7 linked regions of the Canis lupus familiaris genome follow. The protein of the gene in region 3 purifies or fractionates together with the protein of the main gene of each other region. This does not show direct contact. Links are inferred from orthologs where the notes say so. Each region holds a gene or a part of one and is shown on either strand. Other genes may lie near its edges. The genes, in order: HDAC3, NUP88, XPO1, CDKN1B, DDX19A, NUP62 and NMD3.

Region 1 (3,500 bases), on a different chromosome or scaffold from region 3:
AATCAGGAAGCATACTCACCAGCAGCGGGCAACATTTCGGACAGTATAGCCACCACCACCTAGCACCAGTAGAGGGATATTGAAGCTCTTGACATATTCGACACATTCTCTGTTAAAAGGAACCAAAGGAATGGCTGGAGGAAGTTATCAAAAGCCAAAGTATAGCTCTCTAGGTATTGCCTGGAAAGGGCACAAGGGAACTAGAAAAGATTCCGTATCTTGATCTAGGTAGTGAAATTCACTGAGTTGTACCCTTGAGATATGTGTACTTTAATATATGTATGTAGGCCTGTGACGGCCCCAGTCCAAATAAAGTCCTGCGTGTGGAGCAAGAAAAAAAAATATATATATATGTATGTTGTGTCTCAGTAAAAATTGAAATGAGGACCTTCCCACCTCCCTCCTGCTCAATACCCATCCTGGCATCTCATTTGTTAACCAACTATTCTCATCAAAGCACCAGCAAGTGCTGTCAGCTCCAGCCTCTAAAATATAACTCAAATCACCTACTTCTCATTGGCCATCTCCACCTAAGCCCAGGTACCACATCTGCTGCCTGGACAACACCAAGGGATTCCTAACTGGCCTTCTCATTTTCACTCCTGTCCCCTACCCCTACCCTAAACCTTCCTCCATTCACCAATCAGAGCAGTAGCTTTATTTTTTTTCTTAAAGATTTTATTTATTTATTCATGAGAGACACAGGGAGAGAGAAATAGAGAGAGGCAAAGACACAGGCAGAGGGAGAAGCAGGCTCCATGCAGGGAGCCCAATGTGGGACTTGATCCCGGGACCCCAGGATCACACCTGGGCTGAAGGCAGGCACTAAACCACTGAGCCACCCAGGGATGCCCCAAGCAGTAGCTTTAAAACATGAATTGGATCATGTCACTTCCCTGTTTAACATCTTCCAACAGTTTCCCATCATATCTGAAATGCAATCCAGAATTCTCACCAGGGTCTAACGGCTCTGCACAATCTTACCACTGCCAACTTCTTAGGCCAACCTTACCACACCTCCAGCTTGCGGAGATGGTTTGACATGTGTTCTTGTCTGACTGCTTTTACTTCACATCCTCAGCTACACCAGCTCTCCCATGTCTCAGTGTCTCTCTGCCTGAGAGTGACTCTCTTATTCTTCCTATGGCCCATTCACCAACTACCCCTACCTACTCCATGTACTGAGACCCAAAGCCACTTTGAAAACCTGGGGGCAGAGATGGAGGGCAAGTCTCACCCATGTCCTCGAATGCTGAGGTTGAAGCAGCCCAAACGGTCACAGCCCAGAGAGTCCGCTCCACACTGCAAAAAAGCAAAACCCCAGGCAGCTGCAGGGGGATAACTGACCAGAATGTCCCAGATGTCCTTCACTTCACTTCCCCAATAAACACAAGGGCTATCCTCCTCCCTGCTCTCTTCCCCTAAGCCCAAGCAGAACCCTCTTGAGGAGGCACCTAGAGTATTACCTGGAGCACAATGCACGTGGGTTGGTAGAAGTCCACCACCTGGTTGATAACTGGCTGGAAAAGGTGCTTGTAACCTGAGAGAGGGCCAAAGGTGGGTACCTGGCACCCCAAGGGGATGGGGAGACAGGGAACAAAAGGAAAAAAGGGGTTGAGCGAGCATGTAGCCCAGGGAAAGGGGCAACCCAAAGAACCAAATCAATGGTTCTCAACTTTTGGATGGGGTCCCAGAGCATTCTGAGTGACTAATGAAAGCCAATGACCCTTTTCCCAGAAAAATGCACATACACCTAATATGTTGCATACAATTTCCGGGGGAGGGAGGGGTGGTTAATGGTCCCTCTGAAGGCCATTCATCCTTAAGGACACCTGGCCCAACAGTAGACAATACCAGGCAGAAGAGGTTAATTTAAAGAGAGGAAGAAGGGGCCTAGTAAGCAGGGAAAAGACTTCAATACTTACTCTGGTCATCAATGCCATCCCGCAAGGGCACATTGAGACAGTAGTAACGGCCACTCTCTGCTCCAACTTCATACATATCACCTATAGGGAGGTGGGAGGAGGGGGTAGGAGCCATACACAGGAAGTACCCACAACGCAGCTGCCTTAACTTCAATCTGTACACTGAGGGCCTCTCACTATATCTATGTACCTCCACTGCATGTTCCCTATAGACATTTACTCTCTTGTGGCTTACATTCATTCAACAAATAATCTTTGAGGGCCTACCATGAGCCAACCTGTGCAGTAGATACTGGGGATATAGCAATAGAGAGAATGGATGAAATTAATGAAATCCCACCAAGCTTATATTCTTGGGGGGTGGGCATGATGAAACAAGACAGTAAACAAAACAAAACACTGCAATAAATACAAGCAGCAATGAGTGCTCTGAGAGAAGCAAGCAGTGACATGGGGTAGTAATGGGGAAGGAGGGATTACTCTAACTGTGGTGGTGAGGACACACTTCTCTGAGAAGTCACCTGAGCCAAGACCTGAAGGCTGAGCAGGAGGCTATCACGGTAAAGAGTTGAGGGTGTGAAGGGGATGATCATCCTTATTCCCATACCTGTGCCAGGAAAGAAGTAGTTTCCGTATTTGTGGAAAGAAACTGTCATGACCCGGTCAGTGAGGTAGAACGCTTCCTGAACTCCATCACCATGGTGGATGTCAATATCAATGTAGAGCACCCGAGGGTGGTACCTGGAATGAGAGCCAAGCCAGGGTCTGAGGTAGAAGGGAACCCCAGCAAGAACACCCCCAATTCACACCTCCCAAAACAAGATCTGGAATTACGAAGATTCTACTTAAGCCCAAATCACCTGAAACCTAATACCAGTTCCCTATAGGCAACGCTGGGACTCTTGCCTGGAGGCAGGGACAGGAGAGGGATGTGCAGAGAAGACTGAAATGTGAGTGGGCAGCAGGGAGTCTGCAGCAGAGCAGGGAATAGGTAGTCTGAGTAAAGCACTAAAAACTATGAAGAAGCTAGTGTAGGGGCAGAGGAAAGGGTCAGGGCCAGCATAGTGTAATAGAACTCCTCGGCCATGGGTCTCATATCCCTCCATCTCCTCCCAGGCTACTTACTTGAGCAGCTCCAAGATGCCAATCACAATGTCATTGACATAGCAGAAGCCAGAGGCCTATGGTGAGACAGTGGTCTTACGAAGAGAGTAACAATTCCTCTACCCAGCTGCCCCTGATGTCATCCCGACCACCTATGCTAGGGCACTCATTGTCTCCCCCATCACCTCTTCACTCACCTCAAACTTCTTGGCATGGTGGAGACCACCAGCCCAGTTAATGGCAATATCACAGATCTGAAAAACAAACACCGAGCTCATAGTCCTACTTGCCCACCCCCAAAGCTGGAAGCTCAGGGTCAGGGTTAAGGCCTTGAGCTGGAAGGGCCCATAGGAAAGGGAGAACAGGACTCAGGGCCACAGGCACCTTGTTGTTCAGCTGGGTTGCTCCTTGCAGAGATGCGCCTGTGTAACGAGAACAGAACTCGAAGAGCCCGGGAAACACTGGGCTGCA
Region 2 (3,500 bases), on a different chromosome or scaffold from region 3:
TTCAGGTGTAAGATCTCAGCCTGTGGGAGGGGCGCCTGGGGGACTTAGTGAAGCATCTACCTTCACCTCAGGTCCAGATCCCGGGATCGAGTCCTGCATCAGGCTTCCTGCTCAGTGGGGAGTCTGCTTCTCCCTCTCCCTCCGCTCCTTCTGAGCACACATTCTCTCTCAAATAAATATAATCTTAAACCCAAAAACCTAAGACCAGGAGGGGCAGGCATCAGGAGTTCTTCCATGTACAGCATAGCCTCTGTGGCGGGAGAGCATCCCTTTCCTTCTTTGGCCCCAAGTCCAAAGCCAAATGGGTGGGGAGACACTCAAGGAGATTTAGAGGCGTCCTGGCGAATGCCAGCCATAGTGCAGGAAACCAGAGGCACCCAAGGGAAGGGAGCTCTTGAGTGAACCTGATGAGCCACACCCAAGGGTTGGGAGCATGTGAATATGCTACACTGTATCTGCTTCTCATAGGAAACTTCTTTTTATTTATTTTTAAGATTTTATTTATTTATTCATGAGAGACACACAGAGAGAGAGGCAGAGACACAGGAAGAGGGAGAAACAGGCTCCATGCAGGGAGCCCGACACGGGACTTGATCCCGGGTCTCCAGGATCATGCCCTGGGCTGAAGGCAGGCGCTAAACCACTGAGCCACCCAGGCATCCCTCATAGGAAACTTCTAATGGAGGTGGGCTGGAATGGTGTAAGAAAGGACCATGGAGGGCAGCCCCGGTGGTGCAGCGGTTTAGCACCGCCTACAGCCTGGGGTGTGATCCTGGAGACCTGGGATTGAGTCCCACATCGGGCTCCCTGCAGGGAGCCTGCTTCTCCCTCTGCCTCTCTGTGTCTCTCATAAATAAATAAATAATTAAAAAAAAAAAAAGAAAGAAAGGACCATGGAACAGATACCCAGGTCCCCGTGACCCTCAGAGGGCAGAGGAGAGGACGCTGGAATCATCACGACTCCACAGGAAAGACCACAATGGCTGCATCGCAAGTGCGAGGATACTCCATCCCGACAAGGGCCCAGGGCTCTCAAGGTGCCGTACAGAAACAAGAGCCAGAGCAGATCGTGCCCTCTCCACTTGCATCACGCCCATCAGCGTCCGGTCTGTGTGACCAGCCGGGACTCAGAGCTGGGACGGACTGGACATCAGCGTTTTAAACTGGACACACCAAATTTTAATAACTACAAGTCAGCAGACAGCTATGAGATTATGTAAAAGGCCAGGAAGGGCAAAGTGCTCAGCAGAGGAGGAGAATCTAGTAGAGCACAGTTAAAAGCAGTGATTAGGAAAAATAAAATGATCTTTACCTCTGCCGAGTCTCCCCAATAAATGTATGGCAGATCCAGGACGATAACTAATTATATTACAGAAATCTCTGCAGATTGAGGACACTTAATCATAGAGTCCAAAACCTGTCAGATTAAACTGGCTCATTTTACAAAATTGGAAACTGAGGCCCCCTAAAGTTTAAGATCCCCAGGACAGAAGGGGCACTGGGACAAGAATTCTCACCTGAACTCCCAGTTATACTTTCACCTTCTTATGGTGCATCGCCTCCAGAAGAGCAACAGGATGAGAGGGGCTCTCTCAGGAAGGTCAGGGAAGGAGGGGTAGGAGGCCTGGCTGAGGGGATGAGCAGTAACGAAGGCATCTGAGGCCAGTCATATGGGCAGCTCTGCCTCAGTGGTTACAACAGCCCTGAGACACAGTAAGCTGACACCTGGTGACCCGTCCAGGGGTGCCCTGGGCTGGCAGCCAGCAAACAGGACCACAGACTTCCCTGCACAAAGCTACAAGAGTTAAAAACTGCTTTACCTTATTACATTGTCTGATGTTAAGAGCACAACGTGGGGATCCAGCAGCTCACTTGGGTACCAGGCCGCATGCTTCAGAGTCAGAGAAGTAGAACTGGTGAAAAATCTCTCAGCGATGGGAGTGGTACTAAAATAAAAATAACAGTTTTTCCAAAACATTTTGTAGAATGTGGATGAAAAACCTTCTAAGGGAAAATCTATTTTAACATTCTTTGCTCTTCAAATTTCTTTCTCTCAAATCTTGCTGAGAAGAGCACTCAGGGGGATCCCTGGGTGGCGCAGGGGATCCCTGGGTGGCGCAGCGGTTTGGCGCCTGCCTTTGGCCCAGGGCGCGATCCTGGAGACCCGGGATCGAATCCCACGTCGGGCTCCCGGTGCATGGAGCCTGCTTCTCCCTCTGCCTGTGTCTCTGCCTCTCTCACTCTCTCTCTCTGTGTGACTATCATAAATAAATAAAAATTAAAAAAAAAAAAAGAGAAGAGCACTCAGAGCATCTGTTGCATCGATATCAGTGAGGATCAAAATAAAAACATTTTCTAAGTCACAGAGTGTATTATACTTTACAAGTGACTCAGATTTCCTAACTGACTTGATCCCTTTAGTGACCTGGTAAAAGAATGACAGGGTAAATATTACCCCTCTGATTGTGCAAATGAGGAAACAGATATGGGAAAGGGAACGTTGTGGAGCTAAAGGTGGTTTCAACCTTATACTCTTTCCAACAGATCTTTCAGACTCTCACTTTTCGGGATTTGTTGAAAAAGATAAAAAAAATCTAACTTAGTTAAACAGATCATCTGCCTCACAGGGTAACCACTTTTCAAAAGTTATCATATCTCTGCCCACGTGGACGAGCTGAAACTGCGGTGAGACAGCAATGGGCAGAATCACATGGGTCTATACACGGGACAGCCAAAAGCCCACGTGTAGACCAGTTGGGGACCCGTGGTATTGGAGCAGCAGCACAGAAAATGCAGCATGAGAACCATGGGTCTGGAACAACTTCCATATGTATCACAAACTAGACCAACACTCAGTGGAAACACAACTTACCTACAGTTCACTGCTAATTTTCCACCTTCAAATTCTGAATTCTTCCCCCATCTTTTAGGTAGTTCTAACACCATGAGGCCTTTTATTCCTATAAGTGCTACATGATGCTGTGTCGGACTTAACAGGACTTGATAGATTTCAAACAGGGGCGGATTTATGCAGAGCAATCTCTGGAAATGAAAGCAAACTGGTCAAGATGGTTCATTTCAATGTAAATATATGTGGCAGGCACTTGAAGGCCCTAGCATTACAGTGCAGTTTGTACAGTAACTGAAGCAGGCCCGGCTTTACTTGCCCATCTGTGCCCGTAACTGCAAAGCAATGAAGCCTTTTGGGTAATTATGTGCTAACGCTGTGGCTATTCACCGATGGGGCATTTTTAACCACTGACTGAAATGTAACAGAAAACACATCAGATCCCCCCCCCTTTTTAGATTTCCCTACCTTAAAAATAAATAGTACGCATAATTTCCCTTTCCATGACTGAACTCCAGTCCGCCCCCGACAGCCTCCACACACCACCAGGCCAGCTGTGTCTCCACAAAGCCATCACACTCTGTGAGCCTGTGTCTCTCGACAGCTCTTCCTTCTCCTTTTGTGGCTGGCTGTCATGGTCCGGGAGACGGCC
Region 3 (3,972 bases):
CCGGAGCGGGAGCGGGAGCGGGCGGGGGCGGGCCGGCGCGGAGCCGGAGAAAGCCGAGCGGCCGCCGCCGCGCGCCGCGCTCAAACTCGCGCGGCTCCCAGCTCACGGGCGGCGCCGCACCCTCGCCGTCACCGAAGGCGCCCAGCCAATGAGCGGGCCGGAAAGGCCGGGCCTGCGGGCCAAGCCGCGGGAGGGGGAGCCGCGGGAGGGGGACGGGAAGTCGGGGGCGGGCTGCGCTTGACTGACAGGCGGCTCGCACCAATCCTCGGCGCAGCTCGTCGTCGCTCCCTTCGCGGCTGGGCTCGGCTCCGCGTCCCCCCTCCTCCGCCTCCACCCCCCCTTCCTTGCTCCGCTACGACCCGCCCCGCTTCCCCTCCCCCACTCTGCAGGCAAATCGCTGCTGGAAAGAGGCGGGGGCCGAAGCGGCGGGCTCGTGTGGAGACTTGAGGTGGGATTGACGGGCGGCCTGGCCAATGAAACGCAGGCTGATGGCGCGGCTGTGGCGGGAACCGGCCAATGGGCGGGCGGGCTGGGGGCGGAGGCCCAGGTTCCAAACGCTCCGCGGCGCCATGGGCTGAAAACTCAACCGAGATGGAATCTCCCAGTCTGAACCGGTTTCAACCGGTTCCGAGTTTGAGGCACTAGGAGGAGGGGGAGAAGCGGCTGCAGCGGCCGCGGCAGGAGCAGCGGGAGCTACAGCATCAGCAAGAGCAACAGTAGCTACAGCCCCGGCGGCGGTGCCTGTTCCAGTCTTTGCTGCTGCAGTCCGTGCAACCACCCAGAGGGGGAGGGGGGAGCCACCAGTCGCTGAGAAGCAGGAGAAGGGGGGAAAGTTTAGGCGAGCCCGGGTGGGGGGGCCCAGCGCCGGAGCCGCGTGAGAGAGGGAGCCGTGTTTTGGTCGGGGGGAGTCGGACTGCAACTGGCAGCGGAGCGTCCCCCGGCCTTGTGGACTCTCTGCCCCCTACTCCTGCCGCTTCTGCTGCCGCCTGTGGCTGGAGGGTCCCCCTGGGGCTGAATCTTTGGGACTTGACCCCTTTCCCCTCCCCCTTCCCTCACTCCCCAGCCAGGCGGGAGCATTTATTCCACGGATTAATTCCCCTTCCTTTTTTTGCGGGGGGAGGGCGGGTGGGTGTGTGTCGTGGGGGTGTCCCTGAAATAGTAAATATTGTTGAGCTTTTTTTTTTTTTTGGCCCTTATCTCCGTTGTTGTTGTTTTTTTTTAATTTCCCTTTTTAAGGTGGGGAAAACTGTGAAACCCACCTTGATTTCCTCCCCTCTCCCCCCTCCCCACCTTCCCTCGCCCTAATCCCCCCGGCAAGGAAAGAAGCAGCAGTTGGTTCAATCTCTGGGTAAGTCGGCTGCGGCTCCGGGGCCGAGGGGCGGGCGGCGGCCGGGCGGGTGGAGGCCGGCGTGGGGCGCGGCGGCGGCGGCGGCGGCGGCGGCGGCGGGAGGCGAGCCCGGGAGGCGGCGGCGGGCCCACGGCGGAGCCCGCGATTGAATGGAGCCGCTTCTGCCGCTGGGGGATGGAGGCGGGGAGGCGGCCGCGGGAGGGTAGCGCTTGCTGGGCTCTCGGCGTGTGCGGGTGGCGGTGGAGGAAGGCGAGGAGCGTGATAGTGAAGCGGGGCCGGTGTGGGGGCGGCAGGGCTTCCCCAGCCCGGGGGGCTGGGGAGAAGTTGGGGTGATTTCAGGAACATCTCTGTAAATTATTAGGAGTGGAAGTTTCCAGAAATATTTAGTGCAGCAGCATTGAAACGTCCGCCTGCATCACGTGGCCCCTCGGTGGAGAGCTTGGGATCGGGGGAGGGAGGGGCTGCCGAGTCCCTCCTCCTCCTCCTCCTGCAAGGAAACTCGAAATCTTTTCTGATTTTTTTTTTTTTTTTTAAGCGGGGTGGGAGGCAGAGTAGGATTAGAAGTAGGAAAGGTTAGTGGATTGTTGAGGGTTCTGGAAGTGGGGTTCCGTGCTGTAGTTGGGGGGAGGGGGCCTGAGAGTGGGGCGATCGAATGGTTTCCTGCTGGCAGCGTGCGGCGGAGGATGCCCTGGTTCTGCTCCGCTCGCCCGTCTCCGAGCTTGGGGTGCGGCGGGGAGGGCTGTAGTAGAGGCGGCTTACGGTGTGCCCGGCCCGGGGCGCCTCGGCTCAGGCGGAGGCCACGCTGCCCGGGGACGCGGCGGTCGACTGGGGCGCGGGGTGGGCGGGGAGAGCGCGCGCCCCGGGTGCCGCGGCGGGGAGCGCGGCGAGGGCGGGTCTCCGCGGGGTGCGCGGCTGCTGAATGGGGCCGCGGCGGCCCGCTCGGCCCGGGAGCGCCGGGGGTGGGTGTCTGAGCTAGTCCTTGGCGATCCCGAAGCGGCGGTCGCGGTCCGGATGGGGGCTGGCGGCCCCGCCGCGGGAGGATGCGGCCCCGCGCTCCCCGTGAGGGGGTCTCCGGGTGCAGCTCCCGAGGAGGCGACGCGGCCGCGGCCTCGCTCCCCCGCGGCGCCCGTTGGCGGCCGGCCCGCCCGGGTGTCTCCGCGTGTGGGACGCTGCTGGTAGTGGAAAGAATGTTTTGGAAGCTGCTTGATTTTGGGGGGGGGGGGGCGGACTCCGTGTGCTTGGCATGGACCAGAACGCCGCCATTTCTGCGCGGTTCAAGAATAGGCAGGTCATTCGGAAGGTAGCCTGGTTCTACGGCCGGCGCCCGCCGGAGTTGGCGCAGGCGCTGCCCGGAACCTGAGTGTTCGCAAGAATTGAGCTCGGAGAACTCTGTAAGGACAACGTACTTGAGCACGGGACTTTTTATAGTCAAATGGTTCTTTTTGTTTGGGTTGCTAGATTGCGAGAGGACGACATAGGAGGAAAGTTTGTTCTGTCCAATCTTTTAACCAAAAATTGAAAACTTAGGCCACGTACGTCTTGGTGCTTTGTGGGCACCTGTTTTTCAGCCTCAATTTTAAGACTGTTCTGATCCTTTAAAATTTTGTGGTGTTTGGTGGGAGGGAATGTACACGTTTGTTGGAATATACTTCCATTTTTATATTCATATTTAAAGACTTCTTAATGCACGTCTGATATTGTTAAAAACAGTAATAACTGCTATGTAATTTTTGGAGATCTCAGTTTTTGCTGTCAGTAACGGGTTGAAAGATTTCAGAGGAATGAGTCTTTGAACTCTTAGTTTTTCAATTTTTCCGTTATCCCTAACCTGACTCATTTCTTTACTTCTGATTTTTTTTTTTTGATAATTGGCATTAAGGAAAGCATTGGAGTTAAAATTGAAATTGCTGCCATTGTTATGAACATTTTTAAACTGCTCTCAAGTAGCCAAGAAATAACGTCTTTTTTCGTACCAAACATAATGTAATCAAATCCCACCCATTTCCTGATCCTGGAAGGTTCTTAAGAGGGGGGAGAAGTGGTGGTGACCAGCTGACCTTGTTGGGGCTAATAACTACAGTCAACCAGGGATTCTTAACCTGAGGTTTCATGCATGGCTTTCAAGGTGTCCTGGATTTTCTGTAATTGTGTATACAAAATTGTGAGTTTTAAAAAATTTTGGCAGGAGCTATCGTGTTGTTCAGATTGTAAGGCATCTTGACCCAAAAAGATTAAGGAGTACTGAATTAGCCAGTCAGACTCAAGTGGCATTGGCTTTGAAGAAAAAGCAAAGGAAAGATTTTTTTTTTATAATGCTGGGCAACAAAATTGTGAATATGTGCCAGCATCTTGGATTAGAATCCTCTTAAAAGGATAACATTGCATATGAACTGGTAGGCTTTAGTCAGTACATTATGTGAGATAAAGAAGCTCACTTTTCTGTTATCCTAGAATTTTTTATTTGGAAAATAATTAGCAAACTTTTTATAGGTTTTTTAACCTTCCCAATGAATACCTGGAAATCTAAAACATTTTTTTGACATATTACCATAGTTTTTCTAGAATGTGTTCAGGGAATTTTAATCTCCAAATTCATTGAGGGTTGGAAGAAACAAATAGATGGT
Region 4 (2,971 bases), on a different chromosome or scaffold from region 3:
GCAGAGCCTCCTAGGTTCAGAGGGAGCTAACCACTGCTCCCCGCTAGCAGAGGCACCCAGGTCGGGGTGGGGGCGGGGGCGGGGGCGGGGGCGCGGCTCCCGGCCCCTCCGCGAGCGCCAAAGGCCGCCCAGCCTCCCCGCAGCGCCGGAGCCGGGGGGGGGGGGGGGGGGGGGGGAGAGCGCAGCGGGGGGGGGGCGGGCGGGGAGAGCGCAGCTGGGGGCGCAGAGCTCCCACGGCCAGCCTCCGCCCCCCGCGGCCCGCACCCCCGGCTCGGCGAGCGCGGGGAAGACGAGCTCGCCACCGGGCCACCTAGGAGGTCATCTGATCCTGCCCCCTCCGTCTCCCCGCGCGCGGAGCGGGCGCGCCAGGCAGCGCAGCGCGGGGACCTGAACCCGCGGCCCCGCCGCCCCCGCCCCCGCCCTCCCCGGCTTCCCGGCCGGTTGGCTAGTTTGTTTGTCTCGTTTTTAATTTCTCCGAGGCCAGCCGGAGCAGGTTTGCTGGCAGCCGCGCACCTCCGGAGTCACGCGACCAGCCAGGCTCCGGGCGGCGCAGTCGGAGGCGGGCGCGCGCCCGGGGAGGCGGGGCGGGGCGGGGCGGGGCGGGGCGGGGCGGGGCGAGCGGGAGGCGTCGCGGCCGCCGGGGCCACCTTAAGGCCGCGCTCGCCAGCCTCGGCGGGGCGGCTCCCGGCGCCGCAACCAATGGATCTCCTCCTCTGTTTAAATAGACTTGCGGTGTCAATCATTTTCTTCTTCGTCAGCCTCCCTTCCACCGCCATATTGGGCAACTAAAAAAAAGGGGGCTCGTCCTTTCGGGGTGTTTTTCTCCCCTTCCCCTGTCCCCACTGCCTCGCCGCTCCGCGACGCCGACGTCCGCAAGGTTTGGAGAGCCGCTCGGTTGGCGGGACCCGCGGGCTCGCGGCAGCCCGGGCTTGGACTGGCTCTGCCGCCCCTCCCCTCCCCTCCTCTGCCCTCCTCTGCTCGCCTCTGCTCGCCTCTGCTCTGCTCTCCTCTCCTCTCCCCTCCCCGCCCCGCCCTCCCGCTCGCCGGTCCGCTAGAGCGGCGGCGGCTCTCGGCTGCCGGGCCGGGGCTTCCCCTCACCCCTCACCCCTGCCCCTCCCGCCTCCCGCCTCCCCCGGGCCAGCGCGCCCCTGACGCTCGGGCAGTTACTTGCGCGTGTTTGTTTCTCTTGGCTCCGAGCGCGATCGCAGGGCTTTCTAGGGGGCGGTTCGGGCTGGGTCGGGGCGTTTTGTTTTGTTCAGTTTTGTTTTCCGAGAGAGGGAGAGAGCGCGCGCGCTCGCGGCGGTCGTGAAGACCGGGGAGGAGGATGTCAAACGTGCGAGTGTCTAACGGGAGCCCGAGCCTCGAGCGGATGGACGCCAGACAGGCCGAGTACCCCAAGCCCTCCGCCTGCAGGAACCTCTTCGGCCCGGTCAACCACGAAGAGTTGACCCGGGACTTGGAGAAGCACTGCAGAGACATGGAAGAGGCGAGCCAGCGCAAGTGGAATTTTGATTTCCAGAATCACAAGCCCCTGGAGGGCAAATACGAGTGGCAGGAGGTGGAGAAGGGCAGCTTGCCCGAGTTCTACTACAGACCCCCGCGGCCACCCAAAGGCGCCTGCAAGGTGCCGGCGCAGGAGAGCCAGGACGTCAGCGGGACCCGCCAGGCGGGGCCTTTACTGGGGTCTCAGGCCAACTCAGAGGACACACACTTGGTAGACCAAAAGACTGATGCGCCCGACAGCCAGACGGGGCTAGCGGAGCAGTGCACTGGGATCAGGAAGCGACCCGCGACCGACGGTAACGACCCCTCCCCAAGCAGAGAAGGTCTGGGTGCCCAGGACCCTAACCGCAGCTTGCTTTTCCAGAGTATTCCGATGTAGTGGAGGTGGGTGGGGGGAGCGAACTGCCCTCCTCTTGGGTTTTAAATGCTTGTCCGCCTGGCTGCCTGGCTGCTTATGATTTTTAAGTCAGGAGCCTGTTTTTAAGTCAGTGAGATGCTGTTATCTGATCATTGCTCCAACCGAAAACATCGCAGTTCCTCCCGGCTGGCCAGCGCTGGGTCTGTGACTACGTTGGGATGTTTATCAACGGCCTCCCTCTTTGCAGTGGGGAGAGAGAGAGAGAGAGAGAGAGACAGCGAGACAGCTCTAGGGGCATAGAATACACTTTCTGTTATGTGAAAACAACCTCATTCTGTGCCCTTAAAGGCCACCGGGAATGACGGATCCAGGATGGTGGGTGGAGGTGTGGGTTTTTCATCCCCTGACTATTGTGCCAACTTGTGTCAGCCATTGTTTTTCTAATAAAGATTGTGTGTGTTCTTTTTAAAATTCCCTCCTGCCCTTAGATTCCTCTCCTCAAAACAAAAGAGCCAACAGAACAGAAGAAAACGTCTCAGACGGTTCCCCGAACGCGGGTTCAGTGGAGCAGACGCCCAAGAAGCCGGGCCTCAGAAGACGTCAAACGTAAACTGCTCGGTGGGTTGATGACTAGGAGCAAGAAACTGACACTCCGAAATGGGCTTTCACACCCCGAGATACCCAATCTTGGTGGTTGCTGGCAGAATGGAGCTTGTGGGTTTTTGTTTCTATTTTGTGAGGTGGAAAAGTAGGAATGGGGAAGGCTGGGAATCGCTGGTGGGGATCCTGTAATTTTTTTCACACTGTCTACGTCCTGAGGTCATTTTTCCTTGAAAACACGGAATAACCAGAGCAAGTGTCCTAGCCAAAGTACTTGTGACCGAGGCTGGATGATGAGTGGGAAGGTCAATTCCCTGTGAATCCCACCAAAACCGTTGGGAACAATAGGTTCTTTCCCCCCATCTGAGCAAGAACTGGGATATGCTTCAGTCCCACTTCATAAGAATTCTTTTCCCAGAGGTTTCAAGTTGAGTCAGTAACAGATTTTGAGCCATACATGGGAAGAAGGCAAATAAATGATAAAAGTTAAAATTTGAGGGAAAGGGTGCA
Region 5 (3,500 bases), on a different chromosome or scaffold from region 3:
CAAACAAATGCTTCTGAAGGTTCTAAAAGCAAATAACCCAGCTGGAGAAAGAAGAGGGGTTAGATATAGCAGGAGGAGATACAGTGAACAAGATTTTTACTTGCAGATCAAGAGGCGAGAAGTTCCTCTTGGCTCAAGAGTTCCTACCTCTGGATGCGGATGCTCTGATCTTGGTGGCCCTGAGTAGCTATCATCACGTCAGCCTCATCCAGAACAAACACCTTGATCTTCTTGGGGTCAATGAACTTGAGCTTGGAGCACCAGTCCAGAACAGTCCCAGGGGTGCCAATGACAATGTGCTCACTGATTTTCTGACCTCTTTCCACTGTGGAGACAAGACATTTTCCGTGGGTATTTCCATGGCAAACCAGTTTTGGAAATCAAAGCCTTGCCCATCCTTCCAGAGTGAGTAAAACAAGTTAATTCCAGATGTCAAAACACAAGAGCATTATCCATAAGTCTTGGATTCTTCTATTTTAAAGTCGTACAATGGCACCTATGTCCCAGCATAGTGGTCAGGATTCAATCCTATGCAGTGAATTCTCAGTAAGTGCCATGTCTCTCTTCTGTTTCCTCCTGTAATTCAGCATTATCCTACTCATTCTCCTTGGCGTTACTCTTACTCACTTTGCATCATACATTCACTCACAGTTCACAGATTTTCTCTTCAACTGGTAGTTTTGAGTCCCAGGATCCTGGCCTAGTGAGCTTTAGTTAACATTCTAATATAGACAGTCTTCCTAAGTACATGTGCTAAAAAACACATTACTCTCAAATTATAGCTGCTGGAGTTGAAACTGGTACAACCACCTATTAAAATTACTAATGTGCATAGTCTGTGACCAATACTCCATGATTAGGAATGAACCCCGTATGTATGTTAACATGTGTACAGTAACAAATACGCAAGGCTATGCCGGCATTCAACAGTAACTAATTAAGCAAAGTAGGGTACACACAATGGATGATGCCAAGAAAAGTAAAAAACTACTTAGGAACTGATAAGGAAAAATCTCGAAAATACATTATGAAACGTGAAAAAAAGTTGCAAAGCAGTTTGTATACCAAGAGGCAAAGAACGAATACATGTAATACATATACATGTATGAAGTGTACACATTTACATACTTACGCACACATGCACGCACACACACACACGATGTGCCTGCAGCCACACAATATCTCTGGTGCACCACATGAGAAACTGGTTAGTACTGAGTGCCTAGAGAATGGAGAGCTAGGTGGTTGGGGATATGGGAGAAAAAAGTTTCTACCACATAATACCTTCACAAGTTGAAAGGATAACTATTTTAAAAACAAAATTTAATTTAAGGAGAAGGGCCTTTCATTAGAAATTCATCAGTTATCCATTGGAAAATTTTTGAATTAACTCAAATGTAGTTCTCAATGTCCACTGCCTCTAAGTCAAAATTGAACCTTTAAAAATAATACATTAAATATAGTTAATCTATTAATCCTTCATACACAGTGAAGTCCCATCTTATTACAAAATCTTAAGAAGTTATATGTTGTTACAAGATTCTGGTATCTACACTTAGATGTACCCACCACTGTGAGACATCAAATAAACACACAAATTACATAATCAACCTAAAAACTTTTGGATAAAGTAGTTTTGCTGCATGCTGAAGCATGATGGTTTTCTCCAGGAAAAGCTCTTCTGTGACTGTGTGGTGAGCTGAACTTAGTTATTTCTCTCAGTTGACCGATAAACTATAGAAAATGAAGTTGGGAATCTGATATCCACTTTCTTGAAAACGAACAGGCTGTTTCTTCAATGAAAACAATCTACTGTATTTGCTGCCACAGTAACATTTAAACTTTCAAGAGAAAAGTAGAATTAGAGTTTTAGTAGACTTGTATGTGCCATTAAGTTTGAGTTTCTTGATTTTATAAACTCTGATGAGTTTGGTGGTAATATTTGTGCAGACAATTTAAAAAGTTTGTATAATGAGATGTGTCAACATCTGGAAGATCAGTGTAACTCAGTAAGACAGAATTTTCCACAGACCAAGGTATTTTAATTTAACAGTATGAAAAGTTCAGTAACAGGATTTCAGATTCCATACTGGAACTAATTCTTAAGTAATTACCACTTGTTATGTTTTGGTGTAGCACCTAAAAAAGGTACCTAAGATTATCAGAAAGGCCAAATTTTCTTCATATTCTTTAGAAGTATAATTTCTCAATTTTAGCTTCCAAAATGGCAAATATCAACAGATAAAACCTGTATAAACAAAAATGCTGTGGGGTCCTCATAATGTTTAAGAGTGTAAGAAACCAAAAAGTTCAAGAACCATTGCTCCAGGCAACTACAAACTGCTGGGTGAAAGGGAGGTCTCTTTTTAGTTTTTCTAAGCAATGACAAACTGCTTCCAGAAAGTACTAGTGTATACGCCCCACCAGCAGTACACGGGCATTCCAGTTCTTGTAGGTCTCCATCAACACTTAGTATTGTCAGACTTCTTCATTTTTGCCCACCTGAGAGGCATATAGTGGTTTTAATTTACATTTCCCTGATGACAAATGAGGTGTATTGATCACCTTTTCATATTTACTGGCCCTCTGAATCCCTTGTTTTGTGATGTGTCTGTTCAATTGGGCTTCTTTCCTATTTAGACTGCTTGCTTTTTTCTTAATGACTTGAGGTTTTATATATCCTGATAGCTTTCTAATGATCAGTTTTCTACCTGCCCCTCATCTCCATCTTAGTCCTTGTTTTTTACATTACATTCTGTAGAACACATGGGAGAAAAAATTGGTAGAAGAATTTCTATTTTCAATAGGACCAAGTTATCTGTATATACTCCTAGTTTACTCTTACTAAAGCTGTGCTTATTTTTAAACAAAGAGATATGATCCCAACCTACCATCCCTCAGACCTACTAATTCCTCGTTAGTAAGTAGTTTCCAGAATTCTGGATGCTGAATTCAAAATCCTATTTTCTCAGTGAAGAACACCAGACTTTAACAACTCTGTGACGCATACAAAGATTTTCCTAACAACTCAAAATCCTCTTTTAAGAGCAGAAAGGACTATTAAATAGCAAGTTTAAAACAGATTTGCTGAAAGCAATGCAGTGGGTCCTAAGGTCAAGTGAACCAGAAAGTTTAACATCATCATCACATCTTCAATATTCAAATACCCAACTACCCTATCCTGCTCACTGCTTAGGTCTCACCCCTTTATACTCACATTTATTGCCTCGAACAGCATAAGCAAGCTTTAGTTCTGGATGAAATTTGCCCATCTGCTCAATCACTTTTCCCGTTTGAAGCGCCAGCTCATATGTTGGGGAGAGGCACAGACACTGACAGGGAGATCATAAAGGTTGAGTTTAGGAGAGCCTTTTAGTAATAGACAACAGGCCCAAAAGGAACAATATGCTGGTCTTATTACCACTCAAAAGTAGCGAACCACATCCTCTCCAACCAGGCCCACTCTTCAGCTGTAGACCCAAGCCTTCAGCAGAGAGCCC
Region 6 (4,218 bases), on a different chromosome or scaffold from region 3:
GCTCAGGTCATGATCCCAAGGTCCTGGAATCAAGCCCTGGGTAGGGCTCCTTGCTCAGTGGGGAGCCTGCTTCTCCCTCTGCTGTTCCCCCTGCCTGTGCTCTCTAAAGTAAATATCTACAAAAACAAAAACAACTAGTGAAATCAGAATATCAAAATGAGGTGTGCACTTTAAAATCCCATACCGACGTGGGTTCTTTAGTTGTGACAAATATATCACAGAAATGTTAAAGAGGTCAACAACAGGGAAAATGGATGTGGGGTATATGGAAACTCTCCGCACTATGTTTGTAACTTTTCTGTAAAAATAAAAAAAAATTTTTTTTAAAGATTTTTAATTTATTTATTCATGACCAACACACACACACACAGAGGAAGAGACACAGGCAGAGGGAGAAGCAGGCTCCATGCAGGAAGCCCGACGTGGGTCTCGATCCTGGGTCTCCAGGATCACACCTCGGGCTGAAGGCAGTGCTAAACCGCTGGGGCACTGGAGCTGCCCAAAAATAAAATTATTCTAAAATAAAAATTTACTTAAATTGCCTAGTCCATGTGTACATACTAGATGTTTTTAGAAGACTTAAGATTTGGGGGGGCAGAAAGGAGGACTAATCTAAATGCTTGACCTGAATTATGAATTAACTCATTGAATCCTTGTGACAGTACTAAGTAGGCACTACTTATTATTATTATTATTATTATTTAAGATTTTATTTATCCATTCATGAGAGACACCGGGAAAGGCAGAGACACACGCAGAGGGAGAAGCAGGCTCCATATGCTGGGAGCCCAATGTGGGACTCGATCCCAGGTCTCCAGGAACAGGCAGGCCCTGAGCTGAAGGTGGCGCTAAACCGCTGAGCCACCCAGGCTGCCTGGCACTATTTCTTTAAGTAAACTCTACTTCTGATGTGGGGCTCAAACTCACAACCTGAAGATCAAGAGTCACACGCCTGAGCCAGCCAGGCACCCCAGAAGTAAGCACTGTTAGCTGCCACATGTATCGCTAAGTTTCTATATGGAGTTAATAGAAACGTAGCGATAAAATAATGTAGCCACCATCACAGGTCTGAGATTTGAACGTAGTGGAAACCGAGGCACAGGGAAAAAAAGAAATTGACAGTAAGCTAATAAGTGGAGTAGAGACAAGGTCTGAACCCAAAACTGGGCGCCAGAGTCTGCACTTAACTGCTACTCATGCTGCCTAGGTAATAACCTAGCCCCTATAGGTCAAATCTTCAAATACTGGCACAGTACACAGTAAGTGCTCTAAGTGAAAGTGGTCAGATCCCAAGAAGGACTTCCTGCATGCAACTGAAGCCTGCTATCTTCATTCCCAAATAAGTCTCAAGATCAGAGTTCCCCCACCTTCTCTGGACCTCAGAACCACCACCCGTGATGTTAAGTTGAACTCTAGGTGTCCTGCTGTGGACAGATGCAAGGTGGGAAGTAAAGACCCATACCCACTTGGGCCAGTGGAGGGTCTAGTGCATAGGAGGGAATGGCCAGGAAGCCCCCTCTCTTTTAGCAAAGGGCAGTGCAGATCTCCCTATTTTGGGGCAGGGTTGGTAAACTGATCCAGTGGGGGGCAGCTGAAGCAGAACCAACTGGCCTGAAAGGAGGGCTAAGGATAAGGGCTGATGGGAGGTGGGCAGAGGATGGAGAAAAGCTACAGTCAGGGTGATGATGCCTGCTTCTCTGCAACTGTGCTGGTGTTGCGGGTGAGCGTCCATCATCTGGAACAGGGAAAGGTGGGGATGTCTGGCAATTACTGACACCTTGAAGAAGTGAAGAAGACACAAGAATGACCTACTAGCAGCTATTGTATGGTCAAATGTCTGGGGATCTTGCCAGGGCAGGAGGTATGGTTGAGACTCAACCCCAGAGTTCCTATTAAAAATAAGATACATTAAATAGGCAATTAAGAGCCGGGCTCTGGGTTTCACAGGCATCGACTTGATTCTCATCAGGCAGAGTTGATTATTTTCTTCATTTTACAGGCAGTTCTCGATCTACGAGACTAGAGAACTTGATTATTTGGCCACCATCGCAGGTCTGAGATTTGAACGGCGCGCGCGGTCTCATTGTGACTCAGACAAGAGTCTAACCCACAAAAAGGGTTCTTAGCGTGGGGCGGCAGTTTGGGGATAGGAGTCCAGCATGTGGCTGGCCGGAAATTCGAGAACTAGGGCAAAAGAAACCAAAAGTGAACTAGGGCAGGTCTCAGAGAAGGCGAGGGATCGAATCCCTAGAATTGGGGGGGAGGGGACCTGAGTCAGAGAGACAGAGAACAGGACCCCAGAGTTGGAAGGAGGACGGGGGCCGGAACCCCTGGGGTAGGAAGACGGAGCTGGTCCCCGGGTCAGAGGAAGGAAAAGGCCTAACTCCGCGTCGGGAGGAGGAGGGGAGTGGATTCCAGGATTCCCGAGAGGAGAGGCCAGGCCCGCCTCCCGGTTGGGGCCTGGCGGGGCGGGGCGCGGATGGATCCGGGGAGGCCGTGCTGCGCCATCCCCTGTATATCTGTCCCCACTCCCCGGGGCCGCCTCATTCCCCATCCACAGATCACAATCTCCTCTCAGGCTACCGAGACGCCATCTCCGCCCGCCCAACCCCGGCTATGGCTCTGTAGCCGCGACCCCTCCGTGTCCCGGCCCGTTTCCGCGCTCACCGCGCTTGCGCTCTTCTCTACCGCCTTCTTTTCTTCAGCTGAGGCTGCCGCCGCCTCTCCTTTCCGTAGCCATGGAGTGAGTAACCGCTCGCCCCTCCCTCTCCAACCGCCTTTCCCGCCCTTTCGAAGCTCGCGGCCTTCACGACCAGGCCTGGGGGGTGGGGAGACGAGAGTGAGGAATCACGGTCGCGCAGGCGCAGAAGAGGGAAACGCGTCGTTGGCACGCGGCCGAGCATGCGCATTCGGTCCAGTGGGGGAAGGGTACGTTCTTCCCTAGAATGCTGGAGTTTAAAGATGGCCTGCACGCAGTGCGCCTGCGCACTAGCCCCGAGCGGGGGTCGCCCCCCGCTCCCCGAATGAGTCTGTCCGCGAGCGGTTGCTCACGTGCACAAGCCCACCAGACTCCGTATTTTTTGAGTGAAGGGCGGGCAGTAAGCAGCTGCACATGCGCACTGACTCCCCAACCCCGCAGGCCTGAGAGAACAATTGGATCAGTGGCAGAGCATGCGCTTTAGCCCTGCGAGAGAGGCGTGTGGCTCCGCCGGCCGGCTCCCGTCTCCGAGCTCCACCTTGCTCATGCGCACAACACAATTTATGTTTCATTCGGGCACCTGCTGGGGCGGGGTTGGGTGGGGCTGACTCAGATTGACAGGGCGGAAGGCGAGGCTTAGAGGCCACCTGTAAGGAGGGGGGTGGAGCTAGGATCAGCGGCTGCGACGGGTGGGCGGGGGTCTATCGTGAGAAGGGGCGTGGTTAAGCAAATTTACCTGGGGTGGGGTTTCAACGGAGAGAAGGCGGGGCCTCTGGGGTATCCCCGGGAATGAAGTGGGGGGCTAAGGTAATTGGACGGGAAGGGACTGGGGCGGTCACCGCGAAGCTAAAAAGAAGCCGTGGGACTTAGTAGACCACGGTTTGGAGGGGCAGGGCTGGGGGAATTCCCCTGGGAGCTGATTTTTTTTTTTTTAATTTTTATTTATGATAGTCACACAGAGAGAGGCAGAAACACAGGCAGAGGGAGAAGCAGGCTCCATGCACCAGGAGCCCGACGTGGGATTCGATCCCGGGTCTCCAGGATCGCGCCCTGGGCCAAAGGCAGGCGCTAAACCGCTGCGCCACCCAGGGATCCCTGGGAGCTGATTTTTGAGCCGAGTGTTTAGATGGGATGGAGCCTAAAGGAAATACTTTAGAGGAAGGGGTGTGGCTGGAAGAAAATTCTCCTGGGATTGAAATTTTTTTTAAAAGATTTTATTTATTTATTCATAAGAATACACAGAGAGGAGAGAGAGAGAGGCAGAGACACAGGCAGAAGGAGAAGCAGGCCCCATGCAGGGAGCCCGACGTGGGACTTGATCCCGAGTCTCCAGGATCAGGCCCTGGGCTGAAGGCGGCGCTAAACCGCTGAGCCACCCGGGCTGCCCTGATTTTTTTTTTTTTTAATGAAGTGTAATTTTGTGAGGTGGGAGGGAAGGGCTTAAGGAAATTCCCCTGGGAGACCATTAGGTTTTTGTATAGGAAGGAACAGGGCTTGGGAATTCTAAAGAAAAGTAAGTG
Region 7 (4,272 bases), on a different chromosome or scaffold from region 3:
GATAATTCATTCACCACCATATATTGAGGGTCTGTTTTGCACCAGGCACTGTGCTAGGTGCAGGGAATGTGGAGAAGAGACTTGGACTGCTCTCCAGCAATTAGACCTGTGGAACATGCAGAGTAGAAAATTTACGATCCAATTTAATGTTGTTGGCACCATTACAGAGGCATATACCTCTATAAAGATGTAGGACCACACACAAAGGAGGAACATCTTTTTCAGACTTACCACCTCTAGAAGTGTAAGATAATAAATTTGTGTTATTTTAAGCCATAAAATTTGTAATTTGTTGCAGCAGCAATAGGAAACTAATATATGGTACTTGAGCTTAATCTTTATGGCAGACTGTCCCAAGCATAAGCAAACGTAGACTAGCTCCTGTAGGACTTTTCAGTGGGTCTGTTTGGCTGCGTGCTTGGGAGCGTGACAGGGTATGTCAGGATTAGATCCTAAAGTGTCTTCCTCCCATGCAGAGAAATTGGAAATACTCTGTAGGTTGTCGGAGGCCACTGAAGGATTAAAAGCAGGACAGTGCGACAAGATCAGATTTGCATTTTAGAAGGATAGATTGGAGTCTAGAAGTAAGAGGAAGGAAGGGGAGATTAGGTACCCTAGGCAAGAGAAACGAGGAGGCCTATTTTGATCACCTTCTCTAACATGACCTTGCTTATTCCTTGAAATTTGGGGTCAGAGGACAGAAAAAATGATTGTGCTCTTTAAATATTTGAGATTCTGTCATGAGAAAGAGTGGTTAGGCATGGTCTGTGCCGTTCTAAGATGAAGGCATAAAGTCATAAAGAAATATTAAATGCATTATCGGGAAGCACATCCTTTTAAATTTTTTATTATTTTATTTTATTTTTTAAAAAGATTTTATTTATTTATCGATGAGAGACACAGAGAGAGAGGCAGAGGGAGAAGCAGGCTTCTGCGGGGAGCCCCTTGTGGGACTCGATCCCAGGGCCCCCATCACCACCTGGGTGGAAGGCGGGCACTCAGCAGCCGCGCCACCCAGGCGGCCTGGGGAGCACGTCCTCATCATCAGTGGGCTAAAAACATACAGACCTCCCATTGAATTGGGACTCCTCTTTATTTCTTGCATCTATTCAACAAATACGCATTTGACTAGGGCGCAGCGGGCATCGGGCAAATGATAGGAACAAAAGAGACAAAGACACCGCCCTTGACGGAGTTTAATTTCTTTGCATGTTGTGTCTTTGCATATTGCGTTTAGAGACAACTTTTATATAATCGCTCAACCAAGAGGCACGCAAGCTCCCCATCAGGATGTCCGAGCAGCGATTTACACACCTGGGCGAGGTTAGCTTGCGGTGACCCCCCCCACCCGCCCCCCGGAAAGCCGGCGCAGGGCGGAGGCAGGCCACGCCCCTCCCGCGCTCGCCCCGCCCCCCCGGGCCGCAGCCCCGCCCCTCGCCGCTCGCCTCCGCCCCCACCCGCCCCCTCAACTTCCAGCTCTCGGCCCACGGGAGTGCGGGCTCTTCTCTCGCGAGATCTTCGCTGCGGGGAGCCGGCCGTGGTGGCCGCGTTGGGGGCCGCGGGGGCTGTCGGTCGCGGCCGCCCCGCCGGGCTGGGTCTGCCTCAGGAGCGCTCGGTAGGTTCCGCGGCCGAGATCCGGCTGCTGGCGCGCGGGGGGCCTGGAGCGAAAGAGCAGGGCGGAGCCCCCGGGCTCGGGCAGGCCTGGGGCCGCGTGCGTGCGGCGCGGGCCGGAGCGGGCGGGAGGCCGCAGCCGCCGGGCGCGGGGCCGGGGTCGCTGAGGGGGCGCGGAGCGGTGCGCGGGCCGCGGCGGCGTCTGGGGAGCGCGCGGTGCCCTGGCCCCTCGGAGCTGCCGCGTGCGACTGGCTCTCGTCGGCAGCTCTGCGACGCGTGGCCGCCGTGTCCACAGACGGGAGGTTTGCGCGGAGGTGAATAGCCCCAAGGACTTAAACCCCACAAGCCGTTCTTTGTCTTTGCATCAAGGTGTGCGGAGACATGGAGTACCTGACGGACGCCGCCGGCCGCACCCCCGGACACATGTGAGTCGTACCCCCCCCCCCCACCCCGGTCCTTTAAATGTAAAAATATTAAAGTGAGTCTTTGAAACTTGCTGCCTGTGAGGAAAGCTTTTTTTTTTTTTTTTTTTCTTGAAGGGAATTCTTAAGCGAAAAGCTTTATTTCCTGAGACAATCGGGATCGTTTTTTAGTTGAAAAGTTTGTTGTGGTAAACACCTGCTGATTTAAGAGCGTTAAAATATTCGCTTTACGTCGTTCTCCGCTGGCACTGTGCCATGTGATAGCTAATTAGCCATGTGGGGCTATTTAAGTGTAAAATTAAAATGAGATAAAATTAAATATAAGCTCTTTAGTCCTAGCGGCCAGGTTTCAGGTGCCCAGTGGCCCCATGGGCCCGGCGGCTACCCTACAGAACGTCATGGATTATAGAACATTTCTGTACCTGCGGGTCTGTACCTGGGTGGCTCAGCGGTTGAGCACCTGCCTTCAGTCCAGGGCCTGATCCTGGAGTCCTGGGATCGAGTCCCGCGTCGGGCTCCCTGCGTGGAGCCTGCTTCTCCCTCTGCCTCTCTCTCTGTGTGTCTCTCATGAACAAATAAAATCTTTTTTTTGATGTACTTTTTAAAAATTTTTATTTATTTATGATAGTCACACAGAGAGAGAGAGAGAGGCAGAGACATAGGCAGAGGGAGAAGCAGGCTCCATGCACCCGGAGCCCGACGTGGGATTCGATCCCGGGTCTCCAGGATCGCGCCCTGGGCCAAAGGCAGGCGCTAAACCGCTGCGCCACCCAGGGATCCCGAACAAATAAAATCTTAAAACATTTCTTTGGGACAACATCAGTGATCGCTAAACATCTTCTGTCTCAGTACACCTAGAGTTATGACACAAGTCCATTATACAGAATCACACTAGCCCTGATACTCTTCTTATTCTTTGACAATTTTTCTACTCTGTTTATTTATTTGTTTTCTAAAAGACTTATTTATTTACTTATTCATGAGAGACACGCAGAGAGAGAGAGAGAGAGAAAGAGAGGCACAGACACAGGCAGAGGGAGAAGCAGGCTCCACGAGAGAGCCCAATGCGGGACTGGATCCCCGGTCTCCAGGATCACGCCCTGGGCTGAAGGCGGCGCTAAACCCCTGAGCCACCCCGGCTGCCCTCTACTCTGTTTGAATGTTTACGTTTTGGCAGTTCTATACTGGCTCCCTAAAGAAAAATGTCTTCGGACGATAATAGATCTGTGATGACTATTCTTAACAGATCTATTAGACTCTCTCTTGACCCTTTGGACAACACCATACTTTGAGGATTTTTGGAATTATAGCCATCCTTGGATTTTTTGCTGCAGTATTCCAAGGTGCTACTTTATCTACAGCATCTTTGAAGATTACTTTGCCAGGTGTTTTTTTGTTTTTGTGTGTGTGTGTGTTTTTTTTTTAAAGATTTTATTTATTTCTTCATGAGAGACACACACAGAGAGGCAGAGACACAGGCAGAGGAAGAAGCAGGCTCCATGCAGGGAGCCCGATGTGGGACTCGATCCCGGGTCTCCAGGATCATGCCCTGGGCTGAAGGCAGCGTTTAAACCGCTGAGCCACCTGGGCTGCCCTGTTTTTGTGTTTTTTAAGCAAAGATATGGCCTCCCCTGAAGGCTTTTGTTTGTTTAACAACCAGTGCATTTATGAAACCTAATTTGAAAAATTTATGCTCTGTTTATTTAAGCTTGTGCTGTGAGTGTGGTGTCCCAATCAGTCCAAATCCTGCCAATATTTGTGTGGCCTGTTTGCGAAGTAAAGTAGACATCAGCCAAGGAATTCCGAAACAGGTCTCTATATCTTTCTGCAAGCAATGTCAAAGGTATGATGCGGTACTATTTTATGTTACGTAAAGTTGAGTTTTATATCTATATATGCTGATGTGACATAGAGGTACATAGACTAAAAGCACACATAATTGAGATTTAACTTTTATTTATGTTGGTGTTGCCAGACATTTTAGGATTTGCAATTTTGTAGTGTACTTCTCTAGTTTGAACCCTGATAATCTGGTAAAGTTAGTGTAAATGTATTTGAATCTACTTTCTTTTAGTCTTATAAGGGTTTAATAGGTTTGGTATATACAGTTAATAGATATTGAGTTGGGTTTTTAAGGGTAAGTGAAAGCAGATTACTAAGAATATAATATTGTTATTATCATGAGGGTTTTTTTTTTTTTCATTTTAGTCACCAGAAGCTCTGTATGATAAACAGCCTC

The links.
Region 1: the proteins of XPO1 (region 3) and HDAC3 purify together in Homo sapiens (affinity purification with western blotting; 3 studies listed by BioGRID, with this or other methods). This does not show direct contact. The link is inferred for Canis lupus familiaris from reciprocal best matches to the Homo sapiens genes XPO1 and HDAC3.
Region 2: the proteins of XPO1 (region 3) and NUP88 purify together in Homo sapiens (affinity purification with mass spectrometry; 3 studies listed by BioGRID and IntAct, with this or other methods). This does not show direct contact. The link is inferred for Canis lupus familiaris from reciprocal best matches to the Homo sapiens genes XPO1 and NUP88.
Region 4: the proteins of XPO1 (region 3) and CDKN1B purify together in Homo sapiens (affinity purification with western blotting; 4 studies listed by BioGRID). This does not show direct contact. The link is inferred for Canis lupus familiaris from reciprocal best matches to the Homo sapiens genes XPO1 and CDKN1B.
Region 5: the proteins of XPO1 (region 3) and DDX19A fractionate together in Homo sapiens (co-fractionation; 3 studies listed by BioGRID, with this or other methods). This does not show direct contact. The link is inferred for Canis lupus familiaris from reciprocal best matches to the Homo sapiens genes XPO1 and DDX19A.
Region 6: the proteins of XPO1 (region 3) and NUP62 purify together in Homo sapiens (affinity purification with western blotting; 4 studies listed by BioGRID and IntAct, with this or other methods). This does not show direct contact. The link is inferred for Canis lupus familiaris from reciprocal best matches to the Homo sapiens genes XPO1 and NUP62.
Region 7: the proteins of XPO1 (region 3) and NMD3 purify together in Homo sapiens (affinity purification with western blotting; 3 studies listed by BioGRID and IntAct, with this or other methods). This does not show direct contact. The link is inferred for Canis lupus familiaris from reciprocal best matches to the Homo sapiens genes XPO1 and NMD3.

Annotation. Positions count from the first base shown.
Region 1 is NC_049223.1:35,735,357-35,738,856, forward strand, and holds part of HDAC3 (histone deacetylase 3), read right to left. Parts: intron 3,496-3,500; coding exon 3,414-3,495; intron 3,284-3,413; coding exon 3,227-3,283; intron 3,107-3,226; coding exon 3,051-3,106; intron 2,667-3,050; coding exon 2,533-2,666; intron 2,007-2,532; coding exon 1,926-2,006; intron 1,541-1,925; coding exon 1,467-1,540; intron 1,303-1,466; coding exon 1,238-1,302; intron 324-1,237; exon of another isoform or gene 110-323; coding exon 20-109; exon of another isoform or gene 1-19. UniProt on the Homo sapiens protein: Histone deacetylase that catalyzes the deacetylation of lysine residues on the N-terminal part of the core histones (H2A, H2B, H3 and H4), and some other non-histone substrates.
Region 2 is NC_049226.1:31,574,764-31,578,263, reverse strand, and holds part of NUP88 (nuclear pore complex protein Nup88), read right to left. Parts: intron 3,043-3,500; coding exon 2,873-3,042; intron 1,947-2,872; coding exon 1,821-1,946; intron 1-1,820. UniProt on the Homo sapiens protein: Component of nuclear pore complex.
Region 3 is NC_049231.1:62,877,691-62,881,662, reverse strand, and holds the start of XPO1 (exportin-1), read left to right. Parts: upstream 1-1,172; 5' UTR 1,173-1,348; intron 1,349-1,900; exon of another isoform or gene 1,901-1,920; intron 1,921-2,600; exon of another isoform or gene 2,601-2,739; intron 2,740-3,972. UniProt on the Homo sapiens protein: Mediates the nuclear export of cellular proteins (cargos) bearing a leucine-rich nuclear export signal (NES) and of RNAs.
Region 4 is NC_049248.1:12,565,065-12,568,035, forward strand, and holds CDKN1B (cyclin-dependent kinase inhibitor 1B), read left to right. Parts: upstream 1-1,324; coding exon 1,325-1,799; intron 1,800-2,349; coding exon 2,350-2,471; downstream 2,472-2,971. UniProt on the Homo sapiens protein: Important regulator of cell cycle progression. Inhibits the kinase activity of CDK2 bound to cyclin A, but has little inhibitory activity on CDK2 bound to SPDYA. Involved in G1 arrest. Potent inhibitor of cyclin E- and cyclin A-CDK2 complexes.
Region 5 is NC_049226.1:76,930,576-76,934,075, reverse strand, and holds part of DDX19A (ATP-dependent RNA helicase DDX19A), read right to left. Parts: intron 3,333-3,500; coding exon 3,218-3,332; intron 326-3,217; coding exon 148-325; intron 1-147. UniProt on the Homo sapiens protein: ATP-dependent RNA helicase involved in mRNA export from the nucleus.
Region 6 is NC_049222.1:107,310,875-107,315,092, reverse strand, and holds the start of NUP62 (nuclear pore glycoprotein p62), read right to left. Parts: upstream 2,801-4,218; 5' UTR 2,668-2,800; exon of another isoform or gene 2,450-2,667; intron 1-2,449. UniProt on the Homo sapiens protein: Essential component of the nuclear pore complex. The N-terminal is probably involved in nucleocytoplasmic transport.
Region 7 is NC_049255.1:27,425,707-27,429,978, forward strand, and holds the start of NMD3 (60S ribosomal export protein NMD3), read left to right. Parts: upstream 1-1,472; 5' UTR 1,473-1,615; intron 1,616-1,980; 5' UTR 1,981-1,992; coding exon 1,993-2,036; intron 2,037-3,741; coding exon 3,742-3,876; intron 3,877-4,272. UniProt on the Homo sapiens protein: Acts as an adapter for the XPO1/CRM1-mediated export of the 60S ribosomal subunit.